2 linked regions of the Callithrix jacchus genome follow. The protein of the gene in region 1 interacts with the protein of each later gene in a biochemical or structural test. Links are inferred from orthologs where the notes say so. Each region holds a gene or a part of one and is shown on either strand. Other genes may lie near its edges. The genes, in order: FLNC and XIRP1.

Region 1 (9,086 bases):
TATAGGACAGACACACCCTGCATACAGGGCACACACCCTGTATACAGGACACACACACTTTGCATACAGGACACACACACCCCGCATACAGTGCACACACTCCACATACAGGACACACACACCCCGAATACAGGACACACACCCCGCATACAGGACACACACACCCCGTATACAGTGCACACACACCCCGCATACAGGGCACACACACCGCATACAGGACACACACGCACTGCATACAGGACACACACACCCCGCGTATAGGACACACACCCTGCATACAGGACACACACACCCCGCATACAGTGCACACACACCACATACAGGGCACACACACCCCACATACAGTGCACACACCCGCATACAGGACACACACACCCTGAATACAGGACACACACACCCTGCATACAGTGCATGGATGGGATGTGCAAGCCCAGCCCCTTCAAGTCATAAAGGCAGAGACCCTTCGAGGTGTGAGGGGTCATATTTTGATAAATGTAGAAACACCATATTCTCCACGGAAGCTAAGACGCAGTCAGCCACTCATTGTGCCTGAAAACACATTGCCTCGTTTAGTTTTTGAAGTCACTCTTGAGAAGTTAGGACATGGATAATCCTTTTAGTCTTGCTCTTTCACCCAGGCTGGAGTGCAGTGGCTTGATCTCGGCTCACTGCAACCTCTGCCTCCCAGGTTCAAGGGATTCTCTGCCTCAGTCTCCTGAGTATGTGGGATTACAGACACTCACCACTACGCCCAGCTAATTTTTGTATTTTTAGTAGTGACGGGGTTTCATCATGTTGGTCAGGCTGGTCTCAAACTCCTGACCTCGTGATCCGCCCACCTCGGCTTCCCAGAATGCTGGGATTACAAGTGTGAGCCACCACGCCAGGCTGGATAATCCTTTTGATAGATGAGGAACCCCATTCCAGAGAGGCCAAGCAATATGATTACAGCCACACAGCGAGGAAGGGGTCTGTGTGGTCCCGTCTAGTGTTTTGTTAACACGAACACCATGTGACTCAGGGTTAAAATGCAGGAGGCTTCCTTTAGGGATTTAGCCCACCAAGGACTGAGGCAGCCACAGTGGAACTGGGGTACAGGCCCCTCTTAGCCTCTGGCAGCTCACACGTGAGTGGGGACTACGCTTTCCAGGCCTTGGCCTCCATGTGCCTGGGAGTGGTCCCCATGTCTGTTGAATTCAGCAGCGCCTGCCCAGGAAGGTTCCTGAGCCCTGTGAGGGCAGGGCCTGCCTGGAGTCACATCAGCCTGATGCCCCAATCCCCCACCAGGCGATGACTCCATGAGGACCTCACAGCTGAACGTGGGCACCTCCACGGACGTGTCGCTGAAGATCACCGAGAGTGATCTGAGCCAGCTGACGGCCAGCATCCGCGCTCCCTCAGGCAACGAGGAGCCCTGCCTGCTGAAGCGCCTGCCCAACCGGCACATTGGTGAGTGAGGGGCCTTGTGGGATGTCAGGGGTGGAGGCCCACAGGTTGCTCTGCCTGACACCCGCTTTCCACAGGGATCTCCTTCACCCCCAAGGAGGTCGGGGAGCACGTGGTGAGCGTGCGCAAGAGTGGCAAGCACGTCACCAACAGCCCCTTCAAGATCCTGGTGGGGCCGTCTGAGATCGGGGATGCCAGCAAGGTGCGGGTCTGGGGCAAGGGACTTTCCGAGGGCCACACGTTCCAGGTGGCAGAGTTCATCGTGGACACTCGAAATGCAGGTACCTCCTGCCCCCGAGACCTCCATTCCAGTGGGTGCCTCTCGAAGGCACTTGTCCTTCTATCCTGCCCAGTACCCCCCTTGGCCACACTCTCCTCCCCAAAACTTCGTGGCCAATCTGTGCCAAGATTTGAATTCTGGGCCCCATTGGGGGAAAGTGAATGGCTCCAGATTAGTTCTCTCACTTTTTTTTTGAGATAGACTCTTGCTCTGTCACTCAGGCTGGAGCGCAGTGGTGCCATCTCAGCTCACTGCAGCCTCTGCCTCCTGGGTTCAAGCAGTTCTTCAGCCTCAGCCTCCCAAGTAGCTGGGACTACAGGCACATGCCACCATGCCTGGCTAATTTTTGTATTTTTAGTAGAGACAGGGTTTCACCATATTGGCCAGACTGGTCTTGAACTCCTGACCTCATGATCCACCCACCTTGGCCTCCCTAAGTGCTGGGATCACAGGCGTGAGCCATGGCGCCTGACCAAGTTTTCTCACATTTAAGAGAAACCTCAGTTGTCCTGAGTTTCTGTCTCTCCCTTGCTCACTGAAACTCAAGAGGCTTACCTTAGGGAATTTTCCAGACTGCCTGTCCCATGGTGCCCCCATCTCCTCCCACTGAGCCATTTTTGTTACTGGTCACTACACACATCAGGTGACCATTCTGGGTGCAGCCTCCATTCTGGGGAGAGCACTGTGGCTGGGCCAGCCTAGGACTGAGGGAGACATGTTCCTGGCTTTCCCCCAGGTTATGGCGGCTTGGGGCTGAGTATTGAAGGCCCCAGCAAAGTGGACATTAACTGTGAGGACATGGAGGATGGGACATGCAAAGTCACCTACTGCCCTACCGAGCCCGGCACCTATATCATCAACATCAAGTTTGCTGACAAGCACGTGCCTGGTAAGGCTCTGGGCAGAGGTCGGATATCAAGACACAGGGAAGCCAACAGGCCGGGGTCTGAGGTTCCTGACCCACCCTCTGTTCCCCACTGCAGGAAGCCCCTTCACTGTGAAGGTGACCGGCGAGGGCCGCATGAAGGAGAGCATCACCCGGCGTAGACAGGCGCCTTCCATTGCCACCATTGGCAGCACCTGTGACCTCAACCTCAAGATCCCAGGTAGAAGCCTGGAGGAGCCTGGGTGGGCGGGTGGTGGGAGTAGGGCTGGCCCGGGCCAGAGCCCACCTGTTGGGTCTCCACCCTGCTTCCTCACCCCTCACTTCTCTCCCTCACCCTGGCTCCTTTGCCCACACAGGGAACTGGTTCCAGATGGTGTCTGCCCAGGAGCGCCTGACACGCACCTTCACGCGCAGCAGCCACACCTACACCCGCACAGAGCGAACAGAGATCAGCAAGACGCGGGGCGGGGAGACGAAGCGGGAGGTGCGGGTGGAGGAGTCCACCCAGGTCGGCGGGGACCCCTTCCCCGCTGTGTTTGGGGACTTCCTGGGCCGGGAGCGTCTAGGGTCCTTCGGCAGCATCACCCGGCAGCAGGAAGGTGAGCACTGAGGGTGCTGCTGACCAGGCCTGACGCTGGCAGACTGGGCCCGAAGACCAGGGCTGGTCTGAGCAGAGGAGGAGGTTTAACTGACAGGGTAGGGAAGGGCCAGGGCTCGAAAGAATCCCAGTGTCACCCTGACATCCCCAAACCCTGCAGGTGAGGCCAGCTCTCAGGACATGACTGCACAGGTGACCAGCCCATCAGGCAAGATGGAAGCCGCGGAGATTGTCGAGGGCGAGGACAGCGCCTACAGCGTGCGCTTTGTGCCCCAGGAGATGGGGCCCCATACGGTCGCTGTCAAGTACCGTGGCCAGCACGTGCCCGGCAGCCCCTTTCAATTCACTGTGGGGCCGCTGGGTGAAGGTGGTGCTCACAAGGTGAGGGCCGGAGGCACAGGGCTGGAGCGAGGTGTGGCCGGAGTGCCAGGTAAGGGGCAGGTAGCCAGGAGTGGGGACGATGTCAGAGCAGCCAGTGTGAGGGGCGATGGTGCTGAAAAGTTCCCCACCTTTCCTGTCCTTAGCCGAGTTCAGCATCTGGACGAGGGAGGCCGGCGCTGGGGGCCTGTCCATTGCCGTGGAGGGTCCTAGCAAGGCAGAGATTGCATTTGAGGATCGAAAAGATGGCTCCTGCGGCGTCTCCTATGTCGTCCAGGAACCAGGTAGGCATCCACGCTGGCGGTGGGGGCTGGGCCTACCTGACCTTCCAGACTGGGATTCTGCTCACTGGCCAGGAAGATGCCTGGGGCCACAGAACTCCCCTACCCAGGATCCCTGCGCTTCCTCTGCCCCGTCTCCTCCACCCCACACCCTCAGAAACTTGTGTCTGTCTTCAGGGCTGAGTGCTGACCACGGAACCTGTACTGGGATAAGGCTGGGGTGGGGAGGCTCCTGCCCCATCCTGGGGCCTGTGCTGACTGGATTCTTTCCCCAGGTGACTATGAGGTCTCCATCAAGTTCAATGATGAGCACATCCCAGACAGCCCCTTTGTGGTGCCTGTGGCCTCCCTCTCAGATGATGCTCGCCGTCTCACTGTCACCAGCCTCCAGGTTTGTTCCCAGGATGGGGGTGGAGAGTTTCTGCTACCTGAGAGATGGGCGGGAGTTGAGGACAGCAGGTCCATGGGGCCAGGGTTTTAGCAGTGACTTTGGAAGGGCCAGTTAGAAGTCCCTTCTCGGAAGGCACAAGGCAGGACCCTTGGGGATGGTGGGCTCCGTCCCTGTGGGCTCACCCCTGCACTCGGGCACACAAAGCCTCATTCTGCCTTTCTCAAGGTGTGTCTGCCTGTCCTACTGCCACCTGCCATTTCTTTTTACAGTGTTCCACCTTTTTCTGTTTTAAGAATGCTAGATGCTAACATTTATGAGAATGAGAGTATAAAATCTATATAAACTAAGAGTAAACCAGTTTGCAGAGGGTGTGAGGGGCTCCTCTAAATCCATTGCCTATGGCCTGCAGAGCCTGGGCTGTGTCCTCTCCTGGTCCCTGGGGGCCTGGCTTACTTTCTCTTGCTGCTGACTTCTAGAGAGGTAGTGTCTTCCTTTCATTCTGTCCTAGGGCACATGTGCAAGGGAGGCTCTCAGCAAGTCACACTGACACATGCAAACCAGGGGCCAGGTGTCCAGGGGACACACTGTAAAGGAGATTCTGCATAGGGGGCACAGAACAGGCCTCACCCCAGCTCCTTCTCCTGCACCCCTCCCAGCTGCCCCTTAGGTGGTCACATTAGCCCGTCCAGAGCCCTTGTGCATCTCCTCCCACTCCTGAACCTGGCTCCCCCATGCAGGCTCCAGTTCCCTCCCCCAGAGCCCTTCTAGGATGCTTCTGGTCCTCCCTGTTGGTCCACTTCCTCCAGGAAGCTCTCCCAGGCCAGTCCAGCCAAACTCAGCTTCCTACATCAGAGCTCTCCAGCACCCCAAGCCCACACAGACAATCAGGCACTGGCCCTCCGCCCTCAGGCTGCTTCACACAGAGTGGGGCCCTTCCTTCCTCAGCCAGGACAGGGCACATCATCTCTCATTTCCCACACGCCAAGCACAGTTAGGATAGCAGGTGCATGCATAGGGTTGTATGCCAGACCCTAGTTCCTCCTGCTCCCAGGCTGGACTGGCAGGAAGGGGCCAGGTTGGATGTGGGGTGGTGGTAGCCTCTGGTCTGAGCTTATAGTGAGCATGGTGTGGGGCTGCAGAAAAGGCTGCTCCAGCCCCAGCCTCCCAGGAGTCTGAGCATCCTCCATGGCCTTTGTAGGAGACGGGGCTCAAGGTGAACCAGCCAGCATCCTTTGCAGTGCAGCTGAACGGTGCCCGAGGCGTGATTGATGCCCGAGTGCACACACCCTCGGGGGCTGTGGAGGAGTGCTATGTCTCTGAGCTGGACAGTGGTGAGCTGCCCCTGCCCCTGCCCACACCCTGAAGGCTGGGGCCTTCTGGGAAGGGGAAGGGAAGGATGGAAGCTAAGCCACTACCCCTCTATCTACAGACAAGCACACCATCCGCTTCATCCCCCACGAGAATGGTGTCCACTCCATAGATGTCAAGTTCAACGGTGCCCACATCCCTGGAAGTCCCTTCAAGATCCGCGTTGGGGAGCAGAGCCAGGCTGGGGACCCAGGCTTGGTGTCAGCCTATGGTCCTGGGCTTGAGGGAGGCACTACTGGTGAGTGCCAGGAGCTGGGGAACAGGGTGACTTCTGGGGGTGCTTGGCCACTAGTCTGGTGCTGCTTTCCTCCAGAGGCAGGGGCCCTGCTCTCTGAGCCAGAAGTCCCCACAGAGGCTGCCCAGGGAGCTGGGGCCCAGACCCTCTTGGGCCACAAGCCCTTCCTGCCCTCAGCCTTGCTACCTCTGGCCCCCAGGTGTGTCATCAGAGTTCATCGTGAACACCCTGAATGCTGGCTCGGGGGCCTTGTCTGTCACCATTGATGGCCCCTCCAAGGTGCAGCTGGACTGTCGGGAGTGTCCTGAGGGTCATGTGGTCACTTACACTCCCATGGCCCCTGGCAACTACCTCATTGCCATCAAGTACGGTGGCCCCCAGCACATTGTGGGCAGCCCCTTCAAGGCCAAGGTCACAGGTGAGTGCTGGCTCAGGGGAGGCCCACACAGCCTTAGCCCAGCCCAGCCTGGAGGGCTCCGGTGGCCACGCACATCCAGGCCATAGTCTGCCCTAGACATCATGGTCAGTTACCAGGAATAGAGGTGGGCCTGGCTCTACACAGCACACACTCCATGGAGCCTCGCATGACCCTGTACATATCCCTTTCTTCCTCCCATCTCGGCCCTCCCTCCTTCATCTCTGGCCTTCGCTGGCTCCTGAGGCTCTAGAGTCACTTTCTTCCCTCCTGGCTTTCCAAATTCCTCAGCTCCAAGAAGACACAGTCAGTACTGAGCAAACTCCCCTTCCCGGGGCTGTCTATAGGACGGGTTGGGTGGGTGTTCCTTTGCAAGGTGACTCTTACCCTGTGACTTGGCCTGAGTTCCCGACAAAGCCTGCAGGGATGAGGGACGCAGCCCTCCGAGGCCCCAGCCCTAGGGTGAAGCATGAATTGGAACAGGCAGCTCCAGCCCTGGCAGGGAATGGGGCTGGGCTCCTAGAGTGGCCCTTGGAGGAATCTGGGGGAGCCCCAGATGCAGGCAGTGAGTCCCACTGGGTGGCAGCGCTGGCTGAGGGTCCCCCACCTGGGGAGCACCAGGAAGCCCTTCTGACCAGGTTTGTGCCCCTCCACCCGCCCCGCAGGTCCGAGGCTGTCCGGAGGCCACAGCCTTCACGAAACATCCACGGTTCTGGTGGAGACTGTGACCAAGTCTTCCTCAAGCCGGGGCTCCAGCTACAGCTCCATCCCCAAGTTCTCCTCAGATGCCAGCAAGGTGGTGACTCGGGGGCCTGGGCTGTCCCAGGCTTTCGTGGGCCAGAAGAACTCCTTCACCGTGGACTGCAGCAAAGCAGGCAGGTGGAGGTGGGGAGGGCGTCTTCTGGGGAGGGAGCAAGAAGCCATCTGGGAGCAGGGCGTGGGTCCCCCTTGGGGGCTCCCTGGTGTGAGCCTGGCCCTCTGCCTCCCTCTCCAGGCACCAACATGATGATGGTGGGCGTGCACGGGCCCAAGACCCCCTGTGAGGAGGTGTACGTGAAGCACATGGGGAACCGGGTGTACAACGTCACCTACACCGTCAAAGAGAAAGGGGACTACATCCTTATTGTCAAGTGGGGCGACGAAAGTGTCCCTGGAAGCCCCTTCAAAGTCAAGGTCCCTTGAATCCCAGAAGTGCCTCCCCAGCCTCGGCCCCCACCTCCAGCCAAACACACATCACACACACACACACACACACACACACACACACACAAATGTGCCACACCCAGACACACGCATAGAATCAGACACTACAAACACCTGCCTTGGGGATGAAGGCACAGCCTCCCCTACCACCGTGCCCTGGGGGTTGGGGGGCCTTGTCTGTTTCAGGACAGTGTCCCTCCCCGGGGATGTGACTTGAGGGCCAACTGGGGCCAGGCTCAGGGACAAAAGCTGGGGCACAAGTGGGCTGAAGCCCTGAGTTTTCTGGCAGGGCTGAGCAGTGGGGGAGCATTGTGTTGGGGGTATCTGTGTGTGAGAGGTCACCCTCAAACTGCACTGCTGGCCAATCACCCTCCTGCCTCTGAGGACTTGGTCTGGTCCTTCTGGTGGCTACAACCCCAGAGTTTTAAGGACTTGGAAAGGAAAATACAACCAGAGAGGAAAAACCCTGAAGCACCACAGTGGGTTGGCACAGGGACTGGCTGAGCGGTGTGCACTCCGCCCAGGCCAGGCTTCCTGGGGGCCTGATTTCTCTCTCGCTGTCTCTTTTTTTTAAATGGTTGCACGTCTCTGCCCCATTGGGGGCCTTTTTTACACACTGCGAGGCCCAGCTTTGTAGGGGAACTTTTGCACATGTCATGTGGCTCAGCTGGGAGCCGCTTAGGTGGAAAACTCTAAATAAAGTGCGGCTGTCGCAGACACTTGGCTGTTCTTTGTGGGCTGCCCTCTGTCCTGCCACACGAAAAACCCAGCCCTGGGGAGGCAGAGGTGACCTGGCTGTCCCCTGGAAGACTGACCCTGATCAAGGGGAAGATCCTTGGGGCAAAAGCGAGGTCTGGGATGTTGGCAGATCGCTTGAAAGAAGCAGAATCAGGGGCTTGTGGGAAGGGGTCCCAGCAGGAGGATTTGTGGATAGTACAGAGTGTGGACAGTGTTCTACAGTACTGCCCCAGGACCCCTGGGAGGCCAGTTTCAGTTCAGCCTGACCTCGAGGATGTTTTTCAAATTAAGACCTTAAAACTGAGCTCTGACTCAAATAGGAATATTCCTCGACCAGTATGCAGGCAGAACCACGTGCAGACCCCAGCACCTTTTCTCCAGCGGGTTCCCGAATCAACTTGGGCTATCCCGTGCCCCGCTCCAGCACTGAGCTTGCACAGGGCCTCCCTCCTGAACTCCTGCACTAGCCCTGCCCTGGCCAGCTCCCTCCAATCTCCCCTCCCTGCTGCAGCTTGAGGAGGGTGGTCACTTTAAAGAGAGTATGCCCCTCTGGTTTAGGCCCTCTGTGGCTCCCTCCTGCTCCAGAGTAAAGTCTCTTCTTGACAAGGTCTCCAGGGTCCCCCAGGTTCAGACAGCAGCCTCTCCATCTGTATGTGTTGGGCAGCAAACCCATTCCCCTCTACCTCCAACCCCCCTTCACCACCTCTAGTTAACTGGGCACCCATGCTGTGATTTGGGCCCCTGCCCGGAAACACCCTTGCCTCCCCATCCTCTTCATCTTCCTGGCCAACAGGAAGTTTTCCTGGACCCCTCCCTGCCCCTCCTGGATCAGCGCCCCCAGCTCCCAAACCGCCCTGGTACACATCT
Region 2 (9,496 bases), on another chromosome or scaffold:
AGCCCCAGATCAGACTTTGGATGAATGAAGTTTCTTCCCCTCTGCTTCCCCTCCCCAGCCCAAAGGACATGTAACTGATTCCCCCGGATGGAAGAGTGACTTCCACAAGCCCTAAAAATAACCAAACCACTTAATGCTCTGAACATAGCCTCTCCCGCCTGCCCCCACCAGGGCCCACCCCCTAGCCAGCAAGATAAAGGCAGCTGCTACGGCTGGCAGGGGACAGAGACCTGGAGCCAGCGAGGCGAGAAGGTGTCTGCAGAGCCAGCAGGACTGAACCACACCGAACAGAACCTCGAGAGGAAGGACCAACCCTGAGACCACACCTGTTACAGACCCCAAGCACCCTGTCAGCTAAGAGAGACCCTCGGTGAGTCACCTACCTCTCTGTCCTTCCACGGCAAGGCTGGCTTTCACAGCTGGGGTCCCCTATCCTGGAATGGACGTATTGGGGAGGCTCTGAGTCTGGGAGGAGACTGAGGGCATGCATGGGAGGAGGTGAGTGAAGTCTCAGATATAAAGAACCCACAAAGGAGGTAAAGACAGAGTGAGCCCCATGGGAGCTCTCAGAGTGGCTCCCACAGGCCTGAAGCAAGCAGAAAGGACAGGCTCCTGACTCCACCCAGAAAGGCCTGGAGTTGTGATTTTTAAAATACAAGGTGTGGAGTACCTCAGGCTTCAGGGCTTCCTCCCAGGGAAGCCTCAGGTAGGCCCAGGGTCTGGAGGAAGGAGGAACAGAAGTGAGGTGGGGCTGGGGGCTGCAGCTAGGCCTGGGTGTGCATTGCCAGAACAAGCCCCAGGCCCAGTTGTTGTGGGGGACACTCTTAGCATATCTAGCCCAGCGATAGCTCCCAGGGGCTGGCCTGAGCCCAGCTCCCTGCACATCACAGCCTAAAACCTGGGGTGGAATTTGGACTCTGCCCATGTCCATGGTCTTGCCCAGTTGGAAAGCCCCCAGGGCAGATCTGGAGGACTCAGGGCAGGGAGACCAGACCTGAATTTGCCCAGATGTAAAGACATATGGAGCCAGCTGGGCCGTGGAGGAGGTGACCTGAGGACAGCAGGGGGACCATCCTGAGAGGCTCGCCAAGCTCTAGGACAGTCCTTGGGGCTGACCCCACCCTAAGTCCGGTCCCAGTTATGAATTCTGTCCCGACTCTACACTTGGCCCAGCAGTCTCAGGCCAGGCAAGGGTGGTGGTGGGAAGGCCAGGGGTTGGGAGGCTTGCTTTAGGCTTGCTGCCGCCTTGCTGAGCCTCCCTGGACAGCTCCTTTCCCCTCTGTGGGCCTCTGTTTCTCCGTTTGAACAATAAGGGGTTTACACTGAGTGACCTCTGAGGGTCCTTAGGCCTGACATCCCTGGACTCCATGATAATAGCTGTCTGTGGCCCCAGCAGAGATTCTGGACATTCCTGGGGGCGGGGTGGGGCGAAGCTGACGGTCTGCACCTGCCATCTGCCCAGGCCACCCTGGTGGAGACAGGATGGCATGGAGGTGGCAAGAGGCACAGGTTTGCCTTGGGCAGGGGAGCCTCTCCGGAGCTCAGAAATGAAAGAAACCACCCAGAGCTTTGATGAGACTCAGGCTGCAGGTTTGAGAGCTCTCACTCCCCAAAGGTTCTGATGTCTCTACTGGACTTGCCAGGGTGGGCGTGGGGTAAGCAGGACCCAGTTCCCTCTCTCCTTCAGAGGTAGCCATAGGAAGTCCCGCCCCACCTGCTGCCAGCATCCCCACACCTCTTCCCGGTGCAGACTCCTTTGCACAGGGAAGGTGTCCAGGTTCCAGAACCTGGTTGGCCTGCAGTGCAGGGGCCTGACACCAGCTCAGGAGGCAGGATCAGGGAGCCCAGGGTAATGAAGGAGATGAGGTGAGCCAATGACCCTGAGGGTCCCCACTGACTGGGCCTCAGCCACCCTGAGCCCAGGGCTGCTGTTCTGAGGCCAAGACCTCAGCTATATTTAGCACTTTATGTGCTGCAGAGCAGTGGGTCAGGGGCAGCGGGAGGGGGCACATGCTTCCCATTCTTTCCCTGCTGACCTCTGATGACTGTCAGTACACCTGTCACAAGACAGATAAGACAAACATCGACAGAGAGCAGAGAAGGGCTTAAGGGGTGGGAGGCCATTGACCGGTGGGGCACAGCAGGGGAGAAGCTAAGCTGGGGTGGCCGTGAGGCCTGCAGGGGTAGGGCTTAGCCTGAAGCCCCCCGAGTCCGAGCCCCTGAAGCTGTGCTTGCTTGCTTAGGAAGAGGTCTCCAGGGCTGGGCACGGTGGCTCATGCTTGTAATCCCAGCACTTTGGGAGGCTAAGGCCAGTGGATCACGAGGTTAGGAGTTCAAGACCAGCCTGTCCAATATGGTGAAACCTCATTTGTACTAAAAATACAAAAATTGGCCAGGCATGGTGGTGCACACCTACAGCCCCAGCTACTTGGGAGGCTGAGGCAAGAGAATTGCTTGAACCCAGGAGGTGGAGGTTGCAGGGAGCCGAGATTGCGCCATTGCACTCCAGTCTGGGTAACAACAGCGAAACTCTGTCTCAAAAAGAGAGAAAAAAAAAGAGGTCTCCAAGGTCTCCAGGAGCAAGGGGCAGAAAGCACCCTGGTCCCTTGGTCCTCTCCCTGGCAGGTGTCACTGTCATATCTTCCCAGGGTGCCTGCTGGGGAATAGAGCGTCCTATGGCCAAAAGGAAAGCTTTATACCCCCGGCCCTCTTATTTCTTGGGGCCAGGCCCCAGGTGGAGTTCAGGGACCCCAAGCCAGCACTGCCTTCCACTTATTCACAAAGATGTGACTCTGGGCCTAAGCTCCCGCATCTTAATTTATAAATGGTTGTGCTAAAAGACCTTTCAGGTCCCCCTAGCTCAGGCATTCTCAGTCTTGATTATAGTGCAGAAAACCCTGACCGGAGATTCAGAATTTGGGGCTGGCCTAACCACGAGATATCTGGTGAGAGCTTCCCAGCCCTGATCCTCAGCTGCTTCCGCTCCAGCATGGGCTGCTGGCCTCTGCCTGCCTCCCTGGGCCTGGGAAAGGTTGGAGTGAGTTGACAGCCAAGAGGTAAAAGTTAGGCAAGGCTCCAGGTCAACATGGCAAGTCTGCCCTCTGGTGTTCTGCAAGGGAATCTCGTCTCCAGTTTAGAGATCCGCCCCGCCAGTGCTGGGACTCCAAAAATCAGGATTCCCCCAGGCCACTCCCCTGGAAGTCTAGGGAAACGCCGATTTTTAACAAAGGCAGGCGAGGATGGGGCATGTCCAGTTTGCCCTCTGGGTTTGGGCATCCCTTGTGGAGCTAAAGGAAAGTGTCTCATGGCGGGTGGTACCATGGTCACTCCCTAGCAACCTGGGAGATGCAGGGAAGCAGGAACCCATTGCAATGGGTGGGTCCACATGTCCTAAGTTCAAGACCCATTGCACACCAAACATGCCGGCAGCAGAATGAAGCCCAGGCCAGGCGCATAGAGAGAACGAAGGAGTCTCTAAGCATAAGTCAACCAGAGCTACTCTGACCCTGAGCCCTGTTTCCTGCCATTGCTCCCAGTATCCAGCCTCTACCCTGCTGATCATCTAGACCTAAGGCCCCCAATCCCACTCTCACCTCTTCCCCTTCTTCTCAGAAGGATGGCCGACACCCAGACGCAGGTGGCCCCCACACCAACCATGAGGATGGCAGCTGCAGGGGACCTGCCTCTCCCTCCACCCCCAGCCCTAGAGGACCTGCCACTGCCGCCACCCAAGGAGTCCTTCTCCAAGTTCCACCAGCAGCGGCAAGCTAGTGAACTCCGCCGCCTCTACAGGCACATCCACCCCGAGCTCCGCAAGAATCTGGCCGAGGCTGTGGCGGAGGATCTGGCTGAGGTCCTGGGCTCTGAGGAACCCACCGAGGGTGACGTTCAGTGCATGCGCTGGATCTTTGAGAACTGGCGACTGGATGCCATCGGAGATCACGAGAGGCCAGCTGCCAAGGAGCCCGTGCCAGGTGGTGACGTCCAGGCCACCTCCCGCAAGTTTGAAGAAGGCTCCTTTGCCAACAGCACAGACCAAGAGCCAGCCAGGCCCCAGCTGGGTGGAGGGGACGTCCGTGCAGCCCGCTGGCTATTTGAGACAAAGCCCCTGGATGAGCTGACAGAGCGGGCCAAGGAACTGGAGGCTACTGTGAGGGAGCCCGCAGCCAGCGGAGACGTGCAGGGTACCAGGATGCTGTTTGAGACACGGCCGCTGGACTGCCTGGGCTCCCGCACCTCCCTGCAGGAGCAGAGCCCATTGGAACTGCGCTCAGAGATTCAAGAGCTGAAGGGTGATGTGAAAAAGACAGTGAAGCTGTTCCAAACGGAGCCCCTGTGTGCCATCCAGGACACAGAGGGTGCCATCCACGAGGTCAAGGCCGCATGCCGGGAGGAGATCCAAAGCAACGCGGTGAGGTCTGCCCGCTGGCTCTTTGAGACTCGGCCTCTGGACGCCTTCAACCAGGACCCCAGCCAGGTGCGGGTGATCCGGGGGATTTCCCTGGAGGAGGGGGACCGGCCCGACATCAGTGCGACTCGCTGGATCTTTGAGACGCAGCCCCTGGATGCCATCCGGGAGATCTTGGTAGACGAGAAGGACTTCCAACCATCCCCAGACCTCATCCCACCTGGTCCGGATGTTCAGCAGCAGCGGCATCTGTTTGAGACCCGAGCACTGGACACTCTGAAGGGGGACGAGGAGGCTGGAGCAGAGGCCCCACCTAAGGAGGAAGTGGTCCCTGGTGATGTCCGCTCCACCCTGTGGTTATTTGAGACAAAGCCCCTGGATGCTTTCAGAGACAGAGTCCAAGTGGGTCACCTACAGCGGGTGGGTCCCCAGGACGGTGAGGGGCACCTATCCAGTGACAGCCCCTCAGCACTGCCCGGCTCTCAGGGTGCCCCCCAGAGGGATGGGCTAAAGGGAGATGTGAAGACGTTTAAGAACCTTTTTGAGACCCTTCCCCTGGACAGCATTGGACAGGGTGAGGTTCCAGCCCATGGGCGTCTGAGCAGAGAAGAAGGAACTGATTCTGCTGGACAGGCCCAGAGCATAGGGGCCCCAGTGTATGCCATGCAGGACAGCAAGGGCCGCCTCCACGCCCTGACTTCTGTTAGCAGAGAGCAGATAGTCGGAGGTGACGTGCAGGGCTACAGGTGGATGTTTGAGACACAGCCCCTGGACCAGCTCGGCCGAAGCCCCAGTACCATCGATGTGGTTCGGGGTGTCACCCGGCAGGAGGTAGTGGCTGGGGATGTTGGCACTGCTCGGTGGCTCTTTGAGACCCAGCCCCTGGAGATGATCCACCAGAGGGAGCTGCAGAAACGAAAGGAAGAAGAAGGGAAGAGTCAGGGAGACCCCCAGTCTGAGGCGCCCCCGAAGGGCGATGTTCAGACCATCCGGTGGTTGTTCGAGACGTGCCCAATGAGTGAGCTGGCCGAAAAGCAGGGGTCAGAGGTCACAGATCGCACAGCTAAGGCTGAGGCCCAGTCCTGCACCTGGATGTTCAAGCCCCAAGCCTCAGACAGGCCAGCGGGGTCCAGGGAGCAGCACCTGCAGGTCAGCCAGGTCCCGGCTGGGGAGAGACAGACAGACAGACATGTCTTTGAGACCGAGCCTCTTCAGGCCCCAGGCGGTCCCTGCGGAAGAGGGCCTGTGAGATACTGCAGCCGCGTGGAGATCCCTTCAGGGCAGGTGTCTCGACAGAAGGAGGTTTTCCAGGCCCTGGAGGCAGGCAAGAAGGAAGAAGAGCAGCCCCGGGTAATTGTCGGGCCGATCCCTGCAGGTTCTGTGCACAAGTTCACCTGGCTTTTTGAGAATTGCCCCATGGGCTCCCTAGCAGCTGAGAGCATCCGAGGGGGCAGCCTCCAGGAAGAGCAGTCCATGAGTCCCCCAGAGAACGGGATTCGAGAGAGCCAGGAGACGGCAGCCGAGGGGACCCTGTGGACTCTGCACGCCACCCCTGGCATCCTGCACCACGGAGGCATCCTCATGGAGGCCCGAGGGCCAGGGGAGCTCTGCCTTGCCAAGTATGTGCTCTTGGGCACAGGGCAGGGATGCCCCCATATACGAAAGGAGGAGCTGGTGTCGGGTGAACTTCCCAGGATCATCCGCCAAGTCCTGCGCCGGCCAGATGTGGACCGGCAGGGGCTGCTGGTGCAGGAAGACCCAACTGGCCAGCTCCGACTCAAGTCGCTGAGGCTGCCAACTCCAGGCAGCAATGAGGGTGCTGAAGACATGGACCCTGAGTTCCAGCAGCTTCTGGCTTGCAGTCTCGGGGCCTCTGTGGCAAGGACTGGGCTGGTGATGCAGGAGACAGAGCAGGGCCTGATCGCACTGACTGCCTACTCTCTGCAGCCCCGGCTGACTAGCAAGGCCTCCGAGAGGAGCAGCGTGCAGCTGTTGGCCAGCTGCATAGATAAAGGAGACCTGAGTGGTCTGCACAGTCTGCGGTGGGAGCCACCGGCCGACCCGAGTCCAGAGCCAGCCAGCGAGGGGGCCCAGAGCCTGCCCCCAACGGAGAGCGTCATCCATGTTCCCCCACTGGACCCCAGCATGGGGATGGGGCATCTGAGAGGCCCAGGGGCCACCCCCTGCCCTCCTCAAGCCATTGGAAAGGCAGTCCCTGTGGCTGGGGAAGCTGCAGCACCAGCCCAATTGCAAAACACAGAAAAGCAGGGAGACAGTCACACTGGACAGAAAGGGATGGCAGTCTTGGGAAAGTCAGAAGGAGCCACGACTACCCCTCCAGGGCCTGGGGTCCCAGACCTGCAGGCCGCCATGCAGAGTCTTCGGGTGGCAGCAGCTGAAGCCCAGAGCCTGCACAAGCAAGTTCTGAACAAGCACAAGCAGGGCCCCGCCCCCGCGGCCACTGCCGAGCCCATCCAGGCCGGTCTTCGGAAAGCTGGGGGTATCCAAAGCAACATCAGGCCTGGGAGTGGAAGTGATCCCCGGATCCCAGCAGCCCCCAGAAAGGTCAGTGGGGAAAAGCAGGCAGTACCCAGAGGGCCACCTGGGGGGCGGGTGACAATTCAGGACGGCATCTACACCGCTCATCCCGCGAGGACCTTTGACCCGCCTGGGGGTGTCCAGCCTTCTGAGAGGGAACCCCAGTCAAGGCACAGGGAAACCGCCCTCTCAGTCCAGGCTGTCGGCTCCCTCCAGGGATGCCCAGCTCAGAGTACTGGGCCAGGGCAGGAGGTGCCTGGGAGCCACACACAGATGGCCTGGGGGCCTCCAGGGAAGCTGATGGCAGAAGTCTGCCCAGGGGGCCTCCAAGCTGCAGAGACCACCCTGAAGACTGCCCCTCTAGGCCGCCACATTCTGGCCTCTGGGCCCCAAGTGCCAGGTGCCAGCCTGCAACCCCGTAATGCCTTTGTTCCTCCTCCTCCTACTCTCCCAGCTGCTGTGACAGGACCTGACTTTCCAGCCAGAGCCGGCTGTGATGAGGACTCCATCCAGCAGGTCTCCGAGCCCCTGAAGGACCCCCTTCTTCAGTCCCACAGCAGCTCTGCTGGCCAGAGAGCCCCTGGAGGGTTACAGACAAAGACCTCAAAACTGGAGCCCACCAAGTCCCCAAAGGAGAAGCCACAGCTGCCCCCTAAACCCGCACACCTAACCCAGAGCCACCCTCCTCGGAGGCTGCCCAAGCCCTTGCCTCTATTTCCCAGCTTTTCCTTGGAGAGGGGGCAAAGAGAGCAGCAACGAGGTGAGACAGATGCCGCCGTCCCTCAGCCAGCCAAGGTTCCCACCACTGTGGGCCAGGGCCACAGACCTCTGGCCGACTGCCCCAGTGGACACAGCACCACGGCCCCCAGGCCCGCCCAGAATCAGAGTTCTGAGCCCCCCAAGCTCAATGCTGTCAACCGTGATCCCACCTCACCACAGGGGGGCCCCAGCTCCCCAGGAGAGCAGCCCGTGGAAGGGGCCCCCGAGAGTCCTGCGAGTCTGCAAAGAAACCAGAATGAGCTCCAGGGCCTCCTGACCCAGGTGCAAGCCTTGGAGAAGGAGGCCGAGAGCAGTGTGGACGTGCAGGCCCTGCGGAGGCTCTTTGAGGCGGTGCCCCAGCTGGAAGGGGCTGCCCCTCAGGCCCCCACTACCCGCCAAAAGCCCGAGGCCTCCGTTGAGCAGGCCTTTGGGGAGCTGACACGGGTCAGCACGGAAGTTGCTCGGCTGAAGGAACAGACGCTGGCCAGGCTGCTGGACATTGAAGAAGCGGTGCACAAGGCGCTCAGCTCCATGTCCAGCCTCCAGCCTGAGGCCAGTGCCAGAGGCCATTTCCAGGGACCTCCAAAAGACCACAGTGCCCACAAGATCAGTGTCACAGTCAGCAGTAGCGCCAGGCCCAGTGGCTCCAGCCAGGAGCTCGGGGGTCAAACTGCAGTCAAGATCCAAGCCAAGGCTGGATGCCACACAGAGGCCCACAGCAAAGTCAGGGTCAGAAATCACACGGAGGTCGGAGGTCACACAGCCTCAACGGCGCCTCCCACCGGGAGGCAGGAGACATCACAAGAAGACCTGTGCCTCCCTCGAGTCTTACCTCCCAGCCGAGATTCACCCTCCTCCCCAACATTTATCTCCATCCAGTCGGCCACAAGGAAGCCTCCAGAGACTCCCAGCTTCAAGGGCAACCCTGACGTCTTGGTGAAAAGCACACGACTAGTTCAGGACACGGGCCAGGCCCTGCTCCAGCAGAAAGGTGTCCAAGACAAGGCTGGGAAGAAGGACGTCACCCAGTGCTCTGCACCGCCTAAGCCTGCCCCTCCCTCAGCCAGTCCCCTGCCCACAGGGCGGCAAAAGAGTGTTCTGCAGCTGCAGACGGGGCCAGGGAGCTTGCAGCACTGTGGAGCCATGAGAACTGTGACTGAGCAGTACGAGGAGGTGGACCAGTTCGGGAACACAGTCCTCATGTCTTCCAGCACAGTCACCGAGCGGGCAGAGCCACCCAAGAGCCCAGGTCCCCACCCCCGGCTCTATGCCTCCCCCCTGCTGAGGCAGTTCCTACACAGCCCAGCTGGGTTCAGCAGTGAACTGGCAGAAGCCGAGCTGGTGCAGGTGTCCTGCAGCCCCCAGACAGCTGCCCAATAAGGCCACCCCTCCCACCACACCTGCCACCTGTTCTGGCCTCCACTGCCCCAGGACTGAGGTGGGTGCCTACCTCCTGCACCCTGGTGCAAGGACCAAGAGGAAAGGACATCTTCTGAGGACGACTGGGGCCATCTCCCTTTTGTCAGTTCTTTCAATAGGCCCAGTTCCTCCGATGGGAAAAGAAAGGTCTGGAAGCAGCCCACGGAGTAGCGCAGGCGTGGGGGTGGGGTGGGTGCCCCCAGCTGCTTGGGGGAGGATGCAATATATACACAAACACGTTTCTCACACAGACCTGGCCCACGCATGGACATGTGTGAATCTGCACGCCACTGCCTGAGGTGGAGCCCCCCAGAGTGTCCCTCTACCCAGAGGTTTTATTTCTTTTATTAGTCTGAATGTTCCCAGCCATCT

Evidence for each region.
Region 2: the proteins of FLNC (region 1) and XIRP1 form a complex in vitro, tested with the Homo sapiens proteins (2 studies listed by BioGRID and IntAct, with this or other methods). The link is inferred for Callithrix jacchus from reciprocal best matches to the Homo sapiens genes FLNC and XIRP1.

The regions. Positions count from the first base shown.
Region 1 is NC_133512.1:118,323,532-118,332,617, reverse strand, and holds the end of FLNC (filamin-C), read left to right. Parts: intron 1-1,287; coding exon 1,288-1,449; intron 1,450-1,523; coding exon 1,524-1,727; intron 1,728-2,462; coding exon 2,463-2,615; intron 2,616-2,709; coding exon 2,710-2,832; intron 2,833-2,968; coding exon 2,969-3,211; intron 3,212-3,370; coding exon 3,371-3,640; intron 3,641-3,734; coding exon 3,735-3,872; intron 3,873-4,144; coding exon 4,145-4,260; intron 4,261-5,458; coding exon 5,459-5,591; intron 5,592-5,689; coding exon 5,690-5,866; intron 5,867-6,062; coding exon 6,063-6,281; intron 6,282-6,943; coding exon 6,944-7,153; intron 7,154-7,272; coding exon 7,273-7,460; 3' UTR 7,461-8,198; downstream 8,199-9,086.
Region 2 is NC_133518.1:77,037,931-77,047,426, reverse strand, and holds the start of XIRP1 (xin actin-binding repeat-containing protein 1), read left to right. Parts: upstream 1-224; 5' UTR 225-370; intron 371-3,612; 5' UTR 3,613-3,616; coding exon 3,617-9,085; 3' UTR 9,086-9,496. UniProt on the Homo sapiens protein: Protects actin filaments from depolymerization. Required for correct cardiac intercalated disk ultrastructure via maintenance of cell-cell adhesion stability, and as a result maintains cardiac organ morphology, conductance and heart beat rhythm.